Styela clava: one gene and its partner. The protein of the gene in region 1 interacts with the protein of each later gene in a pairwise test. Links are inferred from orthologs where the notes say so. Each region holds a gene or a part of one and is shown on either strand. Other genes may lie near its edges.

Region 1 (7,233 bases):
CTTAATCTTATGATAAGAAGAAACTGATTTATATTAGAGGTTGATATGGTTTGAGTTGGATGTCAAAAATTGATCTGAGTTCTATGAAACTTTTCAAGCATTCCAACTTACTCTGATGAATCAATGAAATATATAACAAGAGCACCAATGCTGAGCATAAAAACGAGGACGACCTGAAAAATTAGAAAAAAAAACATTGAGTAAAAGGAAAAAAGAAAAAAGAAATTTGATATAGATAATTAGGTTGCATATTAGAAGAAATATTACAGCAATAGCTCAAAACAGGCCAACACAAATGTTTTCAATACATTATTAAATCAAAATTTGCTTTCTATATGAATTTTGGTTTAATTTCCAATGGAATCTCACTTATATGTATCCATTTCATGATTTTTTATAAAAACTATTATGACTCGCCCTCAACTTGAGACCCGGTAGAACAGCGGCTTGACTTGAGACTCAAATTTAAAAATTTGATGGAAATGGGACTTAACCGGAGAATCATTTATCATGTTCGTTCATGATTAATCTTTCAAACACAAATTAGGTAGTTATAATAACCTACAGTTGTAAACGATTTCATATCCATAGAATCTAACAAAAATTGTTATTCAAATTATAACCAAGGCATAAACTAATCAGATAATGAATTTTGATAAAACATTTTACCAGTATCCTTCCAATTAAAGTCTGTGCAGATATCATAACACCAGCCCAATCTTTTACAACAGTCATCCATTCCACTTCTAATGGTCCGGCAGATTTTGTTGAGTCTGCATCAGAATTATCTTTATCGCTTGATGTGCCTTTGCTTGAATTTCCATCTTTGGGGATTTGACTAAACAGATTAATAAGGAAATCAATAGGAAATTTGGACATTATTCTAACATATTTCGATGCACAATGAAAAAGAAAATATATACCTGTAAGCAGCACAGCACATGTAATTGAAAACTCTCCATATTAATATGATGAGAAGTCCACCAAAAAATGTGATTAATGATGAACTGAGGAAAACATACCACATGCGAGTTTGTTCACATGGTGTGTGTGTGGCATTTGTTGTCAAATACTCAGTTGTTACCTAGAAAAAGATTTTTAAACAAATTCTAAATAAGCATTCTTCGTGCATAATTTTGTAATGATTTGAAAAAGATTTTATGGCATGATTTATGTAAACATACGAGTATACTATATATCAATAAGTATAATATTTGAATTGAGGACAAACTACAAAACCTACTATTTTCATAAAATCAATGAAGAAAAATCAAGTTGTAGTTAAATTCACTATACAAGGTGGTAAGCTGGAACCTTAAAGCCTTAACTGAGATGTAAATTAACACAAATAATCAATATTGCACTTTGCATATTAAGCTTTTACATATGTATGTGCCATATGCCATTCTTGTGATTAAACTTTCTCTGAGAACTGATCAATTCATATTGTTTGAAACACATTATGACTCAGTATGGCAGGAATTTTGTTTGTAAACACAAGATGAACTTTATTCCCATGTGTATCATGTCTATTTTCCAAAAGAAGGCACTAATTCAAATTTTGTAGATTCTCTTTAGTTGTTATCGATTCACAGTGAATTCTTTTTGTGATTGCTCTCGCATTAAGTGGTTTAAATTTTTAGATATTGTTTATACTTTAATTGACAGCAAATCTGAATATTTAGTATCTAATATTATTCAATATTGAATAAACATTTGCTCTGTAGTGCACCACACCGGGACCCAAGTCACAGTTTATGACAGAAGACTTCCGAAATAAGTGCGATATTACAGTAAACTTCAAAGTGTTTTTTTCATTACATGTAAAAGCTCCACAGATCACATAGTGGCAATAATCAATCATCATTAAACCAAAAGTAATTTGTTCTCATAAATAATAAATTATTTTTTAGTAAAGCGGCTTTATCTATCCTTGTTGCAGCATTCAATTTAGTTAAAAGTAGATTCATTATTTAGTGTTCATAATAGAGCAAAAATGGGCCAGAAAATGTATGCAAGATGATTCCAACAACCGTGGTAGTTCAATTATACTGCCCTTTATTAATTTGAAGATTTTAATGTTTTTTGCTGAATTGAAATAATCTTACTGTTACCATATCAAGTATCAACAAAAATAGTTGGAATTACCAATATAATACATTGAGATAACACATTTTTTGGATAAAATAAGTTTTTGCTATCAGATTAGAATGTTCAGGCACTATTTGAAACAAAGCAATTTGTTTTCTAATATTGAGAAGCTTGAATCTGGCAATTTTACATGCGCCTACATCTAAGTTATATGACATCCCATCAATTTCCCAAGTAATTTTTCTTTGAACTAGACTACACAATATCAAATTATTGATTGGAATCAAAAAAAAAAGAAAATAATGTTGTGAAATTGATTATCACATTCTCATACTACATTTACTATCTTATTCAATTACTTGTGTGATTGAAAGGTAAAGCTGGACAAAACCCCTGACAAACAAATAGTCAGTCTAATTGATATTACAACATTGAGATTATGTATACTGCATACCCTGAATGTGGAAATCTGAACAGAAAGTAGTGGATCACAATGCTTATAATGCAAGTATGCTATCGCAAGAACAAACATGAATATTCTGTTTGATTCAAGAGTCGAGCTGTACCCTAACACATTAGTCTTGAATTAAATAGAAAACTTTAAAATTTTTATAAAAATGACAAAAAATAAAATTAAACTGAAATATGGTACTCACGGATACATCCACAACAGCTGTGTCTGATTGTGTACAATTACATGTGGGTGCTGCTGCAGGAGTAGAATCTGTCATTCTTTTTCAATATAGTTCTGAGTTTCCTTTTGTCGGATCTTAGTTTTACGTTCTTCTAATTCCGCGATGAATGCATCTACTTGCTTCCTCACATTAAATCTCTCTGGGCAAATATTCCAAAAAAACGTTGACCATCTGCTAGTGGTCACAATGAACACATGTAGTCCACATATATTTTTATCATTTCTTGACGTAAAAGGTCTCTTTATTGAATGGAATATGTCAAACAAATATCCTGTGTTCAATTTGTAGTTCTATTCATCAATTTAAACACAAAACTTCTAAAGGTAAAATCAAACAAATAAAATTCTTCGTCCAGATATGATTGCAACTTTTGGTTAGTGTATAGTGAATATAATAGGGTTTTCTATCTAACAAACGTTGAATTCCATAAACAATAAGACAGATAGTCTGAGGGAATTTCTAAACTTTCTTGAAAGTGCCGAGTTTATATGATGCTCCATTGAATCACTATGCCTCTCAATATAACACATTGGATGAATGGGGGAGTGTTTTGAAATGACCTAAATACCTCTATTGTATACAGTTCCAGTCACTAATGCCTTGAACTAATTTCAATTGGCAAAATTTCCTATGCAATGTTATAATACTATTCAAAGAATCTGACTTTGAAATAAACAGCAAAACGCATCAAATTCAATCGCACTTTCACTGTAATCAAATTATGTCATTTCAAGTTACCACAGCTAACTAACGAACGTCTAACTTCAAATGAAAGATGACAGCATATATTTCTTTCAAAAACCCATGTGTCTTCATAACCGATGCCGTGCTACATACCGTACCTTACTTTAAAACAAAACGTCCAATCAATTCGTGTCGACATAATAATGAGAAACGGTGCATGTGTTCTACTCCATATTGACCCGTTTACTTGAAGTGGCAATCTGCACTTGGTTTAATTATAATCGTAATATTCCACGACCCATACAGCCATCTCGAAATGCAATAAATTATTTAGGCAGCAATCAATGCGCTGATCTCACATTGCAAATGAAAGCGCGTCTCTAACGATAACGCCGTATGAAATCCTAACAAAAATCCTGGCATAATCGATTTGAGCTCGTTACCCGGGAGAAACCCTTCAACCATGCAAAGCAACACACTGTTCTCTTATCACCCCGCGGAACACAAATCCCGTCACGCTTTCGGCTGATAAAATGGCGACGCCATGTTCGTAGCGGTCACGCTGATAACAAGGTTAACTGACTCGACTAAAAATAATCGAAAATGGCTGATTTATCTAAAGATATAACGCCGGGTGTCTCTTAGGTAATAAAACATCAGGGGTTCTCATCATCCTCCGAAAATAAACACCAGAACCAAATTTTATACATTATCATCCAATCATGTACGGCCGCTTAAATCGCCTCTCTGGTACAGAGATTTAGCGTCATTAAATACGAATGTGCAAAAAATTAAATAGGTCGATCAAGATTTCTCTATGAAGTACAATCAGTCGATAAGAGCCTAGAACACTTCCCTTTTCAACGTAAGTAATTTAAAATCGATAGCACTTAATTTAGTGATATATACTATGGAAATTGCCCTGATAAAGCCAAATGAATTCATCTTGATGTAAATGCGTCAAATAGAAAAGTTCTTTTTAGAAGCGTATGTCGCACGATGGGTTCATATAGTGGGTCTACGTATTATTTCAAGTTAACATATCATATGCGATTTTGGTGGAATTAACTGACTTTTCTGATTAGTGCAGGTACTGTCAAGTGTTAGTGTCTACTAACCTGAGTCGACAACTAATCCAAGTAACAAACTTCCTCCTTGTTCGAAATTTAAATCTAAACTAATGAGCTAAGAAACTTTTTTTAGTGCGGAGAGATGCTCAATTTGAATATTTTGCTTCATAGTTGAGACTAATACAGAAAAGTGACTAACATTTCACCGTGATTGTGACTATTTCTTATACACTTACGTATGTAATTCTGCGAGAAAAGAACTTTCAGGTACGATTTTTAAAGGCACATAACATGTAAAAACAGCCGCTAACAAAATAAAGCAAGATAATGAGACATTTTTGCATATAATAATATAGCACAGTAAAATTTACTGACTATTTAAAACTGCATAGAAAATATACTTTTAATTTTCGGTGGTCGACATTGAATTTGAGTTTTTTGTTTGCGACCGTTTTTCTTGCGTCAGTCATACAAATTGCAGAAAATGAATCATGGTGTTTACAAATATGCAAATTCGATATTAATTCGGTAACATTTTGTATTTATATTGCGCGAGGTTTATGCCCTTTTTAAAAACAAAAAAAAAATTTCTTTCTCATTTTTAGTACTGATAGCTGCCTTTTTTGTTACAAACAAAAAATTCGCCAAATAAACCTGAACACAGGATATATATATAAATGTAAAAAAAAAAAAAATTTCATGTTGATATTCCACTTCACTGTCGTAAAAAGATTGTGCCCCATTTCATACAAGAAGACATAGTACTAAGCGTATTGTAGCAAATAGCGACATTCTGTTTTAAACGAGTTATTGTGATATACTCGTAAAACTGATAACGATCAATAAATATGAATTTACTTAAAAGCATATAAGTGCAAACACTAATATTCCCTAATATCCTATTCCTTACGAAGATGTTTCCATGCGATCTAATCTATGTATGATGATTCCAACAACTGGGGGTAGTTTAATTATACGGTGCTCCCGAAGTATGCGAACCAAGATGGCGGACATCGGAACGTAACATGGGTAACAGGTTAGGGTTAGGCGATAATTTTTTTCCAATTTTCCTTATTTTTGTCCTATTATCATGTCGAAGACTAGCCAAGAGCCTCCCGTAGTATTTATACCTAAAATTATGGCCTAACCCCAACCTAGTACACATATTACATTCCGATGTCCGCCATCTTGGTTCGCATACTTCAGGAGCCCCTCAATTATCAACAAAAAAAGTTGGAATTACCGATATAATACATTGCAAATATCAATGCGTCCTATCAAAACATACATAATGAATTCTGACAAAGAAATTTCTAATATTCAAGCATATATCAGCGTATCTGATTATACAGTTTTATGTACCTTTTCCAAGCGAAACTCAATCGAAACTACAATTCAAACAGAATGCGAGCGTCAAAATATAGAATATGGCTTGATAACAAAGCACACAAATATTATCAACCCGGTTAAAGTGTAACTAATAATTTTCGAACGATATATATATATAGGGCCCAATATTTAGAGGTCTTCAAGCCTATATTGAGACCTATTTATCGCTTGAAATAGTCGTTAATATTTCTATAATGTAAAAAACGCGAAAAAGATGAGAATTTTTTTATTTATATCCACGGCCCATACACGAGCAATCACATTAAATAAATGAAAGGAGACCCACTTAATTCCAAACGATTAAATTTACAATTTCACGGATACAATCTGTCGTCTGTAGAAAAGCGACCGTTAATCCCGAGTTCGAATGTATTTCTTTCATTTGATCACGTATACACCAGAAGGTGTAAGTAATAATTTGAACACCAGGAAAAACGGATTAACAAAAATGCTAGTTAAACGTTTATTACGACTGTTATGAGTATGAATACTGAAAGGAATAAACGAATTAGGAACACGACCATACATGCTTATAATTTTGATGGATACAATATTTCAGCCTTCCCTATAAACTACTGTATATGCAAATAGTGCTGTCAAGTAGGTTTGGATAACTCAATGCTCTGTATCGACCGACATCAGGAAATTTTGACATCGATAATTAACAATGAATGAAGCGACGCCTGCAAGTACATTTTTAAAGCAGATGGCAACAAATGTACAGATTAGCAATGTCATTGGACTAAATCATAAAACAAGCGCGCTGAAACTGTCATTGCTGTTTTTTTATTAACACCTTCTGACACAGAAATTGATACACCAGAACGCATTCCAAACGAATTTTTCCTTCATTGATTTTCAGTCCTACAAGAAAACGTTGTGGATTTTCGTTGGTGCTCCTCAATCAAAGGGGAAAAACACAACAAGTGCTCTGATAATGCTCTTCGATAATTAATAGATATCTTCGCGAAATAAAATGAATTTACCTTTCAGGTATTCTTGTGGTGTACACATGGAGGTTGTTAACCTATCATAACCCCGGCTATATAATTAAACTTTTGACTCTTCACCTTGACGTTACCCATGAGACTTCTACATTCCAGTCCGCGAAGAATCCACGCTACTCATCTTTATTTAGCTTAGGAAGAATTTGTTACTAATTTTTATCAGCGAAATCTCTACCCTGAAACAGTAGAGGTACTCTCTATATGGGGCCCTAGCGTGAATTCGTTACAATATCCATGCCTTCTATGTCTTACTTTGTCTCAGTATTCCAATGCCTATAAGGAACACGTTCGGCTCAT
Region 2 (8,087 bases), on another chromosome or scaffold:
ACGCCAAATTTTCGAAATTTTCTCAGATTTTGAACCTGGATTTGGAGTCAAATTTTTGTCAATCCGGAAAATCCGGGAGTTAGAGTAGATTGAAAATTTAAAAATTTACCCGACCCCACAGTCATGTGTACTATCTTGGGGTCACCGTTTTCAACAAGTGTTCAAAGTCTTTACAGTACACCACCTAAGGTTTTATTCTGTAAACGTAATACGAATTTTTGCTACAGGATTAAAGACAGTACGTGAAAATGCGAAAGGTGAAGACAATCCAACCAATTAATTTAAGCGTTTTTATTCTTTTCACGGTATCCCTGCAACTCGTGTATTCCGATCGACCGACACAAACGCGGACAGAAAAGAGCAGTAGCACGAGCAACTCCAACTAAGAATAAAACGTTTGAAAATAACAGATAAAATACCTGCAGTGACATTTCTAAGTGGCTCAAGAGGCTTTATCAAAATCACCGAAAAAACTTGATACCGAAAATGATATTTTGGATCGAACTACTTGAAGTAGATCAGAATTTCTTAAAGCTTACTACTTGATCAGCTTATTTACTGAAAAAACGCAAAATAAAGTGCAATCCAAATATAATCCACAACAAATTCAGATACGACTTTTTCTGGGACTCGTGATGGCTTTAAAATTCTGATAACATGCTCATTTTTTCAATAGCATAAACAAAAAGCAGTCTTGCCCAGTTTGAATGACAGGTAAAAATATATGAATATTCGCTAAACGTGTTGGCTGCTGGGTGTTAAACGCTTTCGAATATACTTCAGACTATTTGCCGCGCCGAGAAACACCAAACTCGCGGTCAACCACAGCTTGATACAATGTAACGTTACGGATCACGAAAGCTCAGAGAATCACAAGAAAACAGCACATTTCACCAAAATTTCTGAGTAATTGGTAGAGCATATTAAAGTTGAATCACCATCTTTTTAATAAAGCTAAGCCCCGGAATCTCAGTGGTAGACTAAGACTACCATATATCTCAATACTAGAAATTATTCCAACATTCGCCTATTTTAAACTCTTCAATTCTCGAAGTACTGCGCGGAAGTCGTTAATAGACCGTTAGCCAGTGTTACGACTTACGAGCAACTTATACTCAGACTTTTTTATTATTATTATACGCAAATACAAACCACCCCCCCCCCCCCCCCCCAAAAAAAAAAAAAACTCAAAATTCCTCCCAGATTGGGAAAAACAGCCCCAAATGGATAGTATAATATTTTATTTCCAATTTGCATCATAATTTCCAATGGCGAACAAGTCATCGCAGTCGGCTGAGAACTCATCAATAATAAAATGCGGTTTAAATATGACCAGTGATTATCCGAGAATCAATAAACCAATTTTACATGAAAATTCTTGCTGGAGACAAGAATCCGCATTCGAACACATATTCAAAATAACAATAAATCTTGAAAAATGACGCCATCAATATAATTACGTCATACATATTGGCAAACATACAATTATATATATACCAATTAGACCGAAATATTAGTATCAGGCCATAGTATGATTTTGGAACTCTCAAATTTAAACTAGTATAACTCGTTAATGAGAATCGATCAAAACGAAAAAATACCGGTATGCAACAATGTAAACTAGATGTGGACAACTATAGCAGCTAGTCACAATGAAAATGTAGAAATACGGAAAAAAAGCATTAAGTTATTGTAGCAATTTTTAAATATTTGAGACTGGTACCAATTAAATAGTGTATTATTCATTGAATATTCTTCAGTGATCGTTAAGCCGTATGGCTAGAGCCTCTAGACATAATTATAACCTGAGCTTCTGGCATCGTATATGTATGGTATGTATAATTACAAATAGTATTATACACGGCCTTCATTATCTCGTAACAAACAAACTGGACATATTATGTGTAGTTAATTAAAGATACATAAATCCTATAATGAATTGCAAAATTTGTATAATTAGCAATTAGCATTCTGAGGAGATTACTCGATTTGGTGGTTGGATGTTTGGCCATATGTGGCATTATAAGACACAATTATGTACGGGTCATTTATTTATAATGCTTAATCAGATAAAATGTTTTATCCGGATAGATAGAGCATACAATGGAAGAAAGAAATGATCGCAAACTAGACCTGATCCTTGTATTTATGTGTATATAAAATGAAGGTACACCAATGTTCAAAAAGAATTGAATATTTTGATGGCTTCGAAAATAAATATATTCGATATTTTGAATTTTTGATTGTAGTAATATTTTGAAATATTTACATTTGATTATCAAATTTTCATTTGAGCAATGGAGGTCTTACAATATGACCAAAAGAAAATTTTAAGCCACATCGGTACCATTAAGTCACTGTAACTGGCATAATAACGCCGTTTAGAAAGGGATCAACGGAATCAGATCTGAATACTTTTATTTAAAATAAAATTTCATAACCTAACACAAATCTGAAATGAATAATGACAATCACTGAGACATAAAACTATTGTAATACTTGTTTATTTAATGAAGCATAAAAATCAAATTCTCGATTTGCCAAAACTAAAATACGAATAAGAAAAAAAGTCGACGATTATCGGTAATAAAATTGATTGAAATGACAATAATGTATTGTAGATCGTTATATTAATATATCTGAATAGTAATAAATACAAACTTACTGTTATTCAAATGGTCTTCTTTGGAAGTCTTTGGCGACTTATGCGAGGATTCCTTCGACTTCCCGAATTTAAAAGGGAACATACTCATGATGCTGGTTTGTATCGTATAATATCACTTCAAAATATAATCCAGTTTTGTCTTTGTATTGACGGAAAAGATCGTCTCTTTCAGATCAGACAGACAAGCAACTAACACAGTCTAGCTACCTTACTGACTGTACGTCGATAACAACAGCAGTGTGTGGTATGGCCACTTCCGTTTGGTATTCCAGTATATCACACTCACAAAGAGGCGCATAAACAGTATTATTCGCTGGCCAAAATAATTGCGGCCTTTTTTCTACCGGACGTTAGCTAAATGTGGTTGCAATGCATATGTTCGAGTTACGTTACGCCCAAATAGCATTAGACAAGCTGGTACATTGAAAAATAAACAAAAATCGGTCATTTAGGTAAAGCAAATCGATGTCAAATGGGCGCGTTGGGACAGTAAGAATTTCCCTAAAGAGAACAGAAACAATCAACGAATGTAAATCCATCGTTCGTCTTGGTATCAAGATCATCTTATATTTGAACCTTACATGTATCAATAATATTATAACATACAGCGTGACCTAAAAACAGAACCCAGGCCATTTGAAACCTAGAAAGAACATAACTTTTGTGAAAAGCGTTCTATTATATACAAGCACAAGTTAAAGTTGTAAATAAATTTCGTTTTCGTAAATCTGTTTTATTTTGGTCAGTCTGTACTTGATTCGAACCTTTCCTATATTCTAACTTCCTAATAACTGTCAAAAATGCCTACGTCCATTATTTAAAAAAAAATATGGTCTTTTAGTGAAATAATTCTGTCAACATTGCTCACTGCACAAGTACTATAAGTACTCTATTATAGGCTAACTTACTGTTCAGTACTGCAATAATACATATTGTTTACGAGGATCCTAACACGACTATTTCGAGCCAATACGTGTCCAATTACGCTAAATTAAAACTAAAAATACGACTATATAAGTACGGCTGGATGCTATGGTTGGTTTCCCATGTAGAACGATATGTTTGGCAAAGAAGTCTAATTTTACACGAAATGACAATAGAAAGTTATCTACAAATTATCACAATTTAAATAAACTCTCAAACCAGAAAAAAAAATTATATCAATTTATAGAAATGGCTTAAATTGGCTCCCTGCGGAGGTATAAAATAAAAAGTCTAGCGAGTGATTGCTACTATGCTTATTCAAATTAATGCACGTACTAGTAAGCAGTAAACGATATAGGTTATCCAATTTTCGAATCCGTACATTTTTATTCATTGTTGTGATGAAGTTAGTCTGTATAGACATTCGAAGCGTTGACCAACTAAGTCGTCCGCTCTTACGAGTTTTGCATGTATTATAATACAAATAGTCACCTAAAATTCTAAAATATAGACCTAACCATTTTTCTGCGTTACAATATATACGAATACGATTGACAAAAAATTCCGAATATCGAAATCAACACCGACGCAAAAAATTTACAAAAATTCATGTATTGAATTACAAGAACAAAAAAATGGGGCAAAACTAAATTAATTAAAAATACGATCCAAGATGAGCAACACTTTTTGAAACATCACATATTATGATATTTTCAAAATGTTATTTCAATAAGAGGACAAATGACAGCGTCCATATTTATACCAGCCACCAGATAGTAGACAAATATGAGGACAGAAATAGTGTTAGGATCCAGAAAAGGATAATATAGCTAACGAGTCATGCTTGAATAGGCGTTCAGTGGGGGCGTTTCGCCTGATTGCCATAACGTCCACAAAACAGTTCTATATTTAGACGAATTGTTAAAAATTGCATGGGTTATCACGGTACAATACATTACTCAACTCAAGCGTCTGTACAACATCATCCGGCGAAACTGACTGTGTTGCTACGGGGTTCCCAGCTATCTCGAATAGCGAAGTTATAAGTATTGTGCTAAGATGACAATGAATCCGGAGTTGTGGAGTTGACCTCGTCTCCGAGATGAAAAAAACTTGACTCCGGTATCTACAAAATTCGATTGAGCCAGTCCCGAATTCTTTTAGCTCAATACCAAAAGACTGAGACTGCATAAGATTTTTCGATAATGATTCGCTGGAGCCCTCATACGTACTTATATCAGGTTACGTACTGCAATCAGCATAAAATTATACAGATGACTGGTAAACAGATACTGGCACCTGTTTTCTTACCTAGCTAATGCGCAATTAGTATTTCGATGGAGCATCGTGTAGTCAAAATACGTAGCTGTGTATCAGTTTTCTCCTTTTAATTAAACTCGTGAATAAGCGCCGATCTGTTCCTATCGACTGGAAGAATTGATTATTTTTTAGGCTATCGCGGAAGCTTTATCAGTTGGGAGTTGCATTGAAGCGGAATTCCAAATTTATTTATTCCAATCGAGTTTGGCGATTAGATAATAACACATTAAATCAAATAATACGCAATTCGCCAACATAGGCCGGTCGAATACCAACAAAAAAGTTTTTCAAAAAATGTTGAGAACTACCTTTGACGGGACCATACGATGCCAAGAAGAAACACCAACAATTTAAACGTACGATCGATGCAAAAATGCATTTTGTTTTGACTTCTTATTTGAAGAATCCAAGTTCAAGTACGGCGATAATATAACTCAAAAACTCTTGAATTGTTTTATATAAGAACCATGTTTGGATGAAGCCACCATAGATAGGGTAGGAATCCGACGCGTATCGGTCTAAAAGGATTTTATGACGTAGACGGAACTGATAGTGTTAAAAGCTCAGCATTTGTCGAGATCAAAAGGCGAAAGGTCAATTCCAGGGCGTAAAAGAATTCCCAGAAAAACTTAATGTGTTGCTGGTAAAAGTTCGGAGGAATTTGTTAGCATATTTCGGATTCGAAGAAGCTATTCTATAATTTTACACATAAAATAGCATCTAAGACTTTCTCGCTCATTTTTGAGTTACCAAATCCCGAGCAGACTGTTACGGCCCGATATTAGATAATTTCCTGAAATGTTTACCATGGCAAAACTAGTGACGGACAATAACAGGTTAGCATTTTGCATCAATAAATACAACTACAATGTACGTTTCTGGCGAGTATTCAGAAGGTATTATAAATATTGTAATGCCTACTAATTTTATCTTTACTATTTTCCTAACATGCTAGGGACGCATGACATATGAATTGATTTTACATTTGTTGACAGATAAAAGTGATTTGTACTGCTGCTACAGCATCCTTGCATCATATACATACGGAAACACCCCGTAAAAGCTAAGAAGAAGAACAAATTGTCGGTCCAACAGAAATCCATTCAAAGACAAATAACTGACGAAAGTCCTAAATAAGAAAGACGAATTGGAATAGCAAAGAAAACGGGTTCGGATATCGCAAATGTAGTTGTAGCATTTGCAGAGTGTTTTCGAGCTTTCAACACGAGGCTGTAATGTAACACACTGTAAACAAATGTGCTTCCTTTTTTCCGTTATCATAATTTTAGCACAGAAAGTTAGCCCAACAGTTTATAAAATCTGTTACGTGATTAAACTAGCATTCAGTGAAAAGGTATTCAAGTCTTTCATTATTGTTTAAACAACCAAGCGTGATCCACGCAAAAAATTCACTCGGAAATGACAACTCATCCATGACCAAGTTTGACCTATTGTGATCTGAACGCGGAACTAATTAAAAAAATACAATCTACTTCCGTGTTGTTGATTGTTTTTTGAAATTTCATTATAAACTGATTTGGGTATGATCAAAGGAAAAAAATTGGAAGACGTTACAAATTTATACATCATATCCCAAAACGGCTTGATTACCGGTAGGTGTTTTTGATCGAAAATAAATTCCTATCTCGAATAACGATATAGGCTTATTCGTGCTGGCGTACAGCAAGATTTTAAGGGTTAGATGGCAAAGATACGGCACTAGGATTGTACATATTGTGAAACATCGTGGTTCGCGAAATGTCAACCGAAACCGAAAGAAATTCGAAAATACAATTTCGAATTTCTTTCGATTTTGGCGAATCTTTGATAACGTTTCAAAAAATTTCATATACATGTACTACATTGTAATATAATGTAAATCTCAAATATCTTGGCATATAAAATAAATCGATGCGGAATTCAACAGAGCAGAAACTTAAACAAAAGTCTGTAACATATTAATGTCAATCTATGAACACTGCAATAGTTTACACTTAATAGTTTCTTCGTTTTATCAAAACGATGCCAAAATTTGTTGATGTAATGTAGGAATAGGTTTTTCATTATCAGCCCGAGGAAGAGGTAAGTCGATCAACGAAAGTTTAATCATCCTAGTACAGTTACCAGTCCGTGTCGGGTATGGTTAATACTCAATAGTTAAACATATGAAAGCCGTAACCGACCAGCGGTCGAGTGGACCACCCTACGAACCCTACGACCAAGAGGAAGGAGTTCAGTAATCCTCTCGCACGTATAATTCTCACCCACGGGATTCGAATCTGTGAACTTCAACGCTTTACGAACGACATTATATTCATTATCTGATTAAAAATATTTATGTACACGATTTCACTCCGTGCAACGTTCTGCACAAGACGCCACGGCGCTCCGGAAGTAATCGTACCAAGATGACGCACAACCTGAACAACCCTAACCTGGTACACATACTATATTCAGGTTGTGCGCAATCTTGGTACGAATACTTCGGGAGCACCGACGCCACTACATTATTGAGCGGGTCGGAATATTAAAACGTCTAGTTGGCTTTTCTCTCGCCTGGGATGCATATGGTACATATGAACACACTCCTGCCCTATTCTGACAGATACTATTCAACCCTATTCGATAAGACTAATTCCAAAACAATTTAATCAATAGCCTTATTGATTGTATTAAATGCATAAAAGAGTCATACCTTACTATCATGACTGAGAATTAAGATGAAACTATTCCCAGTTGGTTTGAAATCAAGTTATGTTGAAATTTACTACTGTTTACACGTACTATTAAGGTCAAGCGATTAAACGTAACGGCACTTAAATAATTCATAGGCAAGTCAAACATAAAATATACTTAAACTACGGTTGTTTATATGTTAAGTAATGGAATATATATTTGGTCAAGGGTAGAATCGGCGACAGTATTCCCCAGGCAAGCCAACTGTAAATGATCCAAAAACTTGATGTTATATGTTTAAATATATAGCTTTTGGGCCGGGAATTTGGCGTGTTTTCATTGTAGTTGGAGTCGGATTCTCAGAGTCGTAGTCGGATTTCATACTTTCAATGATTACCTAGCGTTCTAACAGTCCATTTAAGTAGGATCGCACAAGCAAAAGTCAAATTTAATTTTCTCGGAGCTGATGACGAAGTCAAATTTTTTTGAAAACCCGGAGTCG

What was found. The genes of interacting proteins can lie anywhere in the genome.
Region 2: the proteins of calcium-activated potassium channel subunit alpha-1-like (region 1) and cAMP-dependent protein kinase catalytic subunit beta interact in binary tests that used the Drosophila melanogaster proteins (3 or more experiments, as listed by UniProt). The link is inferred for Styela clava from reciprocal best matches to the Drosophila melanogaster genes slo and Pka-C1.

The regions. Positions count from the first base shown.
Region 1 is NC_135260.1:20,441,626-20,448,858, reverse strand, and holds the start of calcium-activated potassium channel subunit alpha-1-like, read right to left. Parts: upstream 3,122-7,233; 5' UTR 2,823-3,121; coding exon 2,748-2,822; intron 1,085-2,747; coding exon 924-1,084; intron 839-923; coding exon 670-838; intron 174-669; coding exon 112-173; intron 1-111. UniProt on the Drosophila melanogaster protein: Potassium channel activated by both membrane depolarization or increase in cytosolic Ca(2+) that mediates export of K(+). Its activation dampens the excitatory events that elevate the cytosolic Ca(2+) concentration and/or depolarize the cell membrane.
Region 2 is NC_135250.1:24,679,445-24,687,531, forward strand, and holds the start of cAMP-dependent protein kinase catalytic subunit beta, read right to left. Parts: upstream 3,097-8,087; 5' UTR 2,754-3,096; coding exon 2,666-2,753; intron 1-2,665. UniProt on the Drosophila melanogaster protein: Serine/threonine-protein kinase involved in memory formation. Promotes long-term memory by phosphorylating meng and by regulating CrebB protein stability and activity.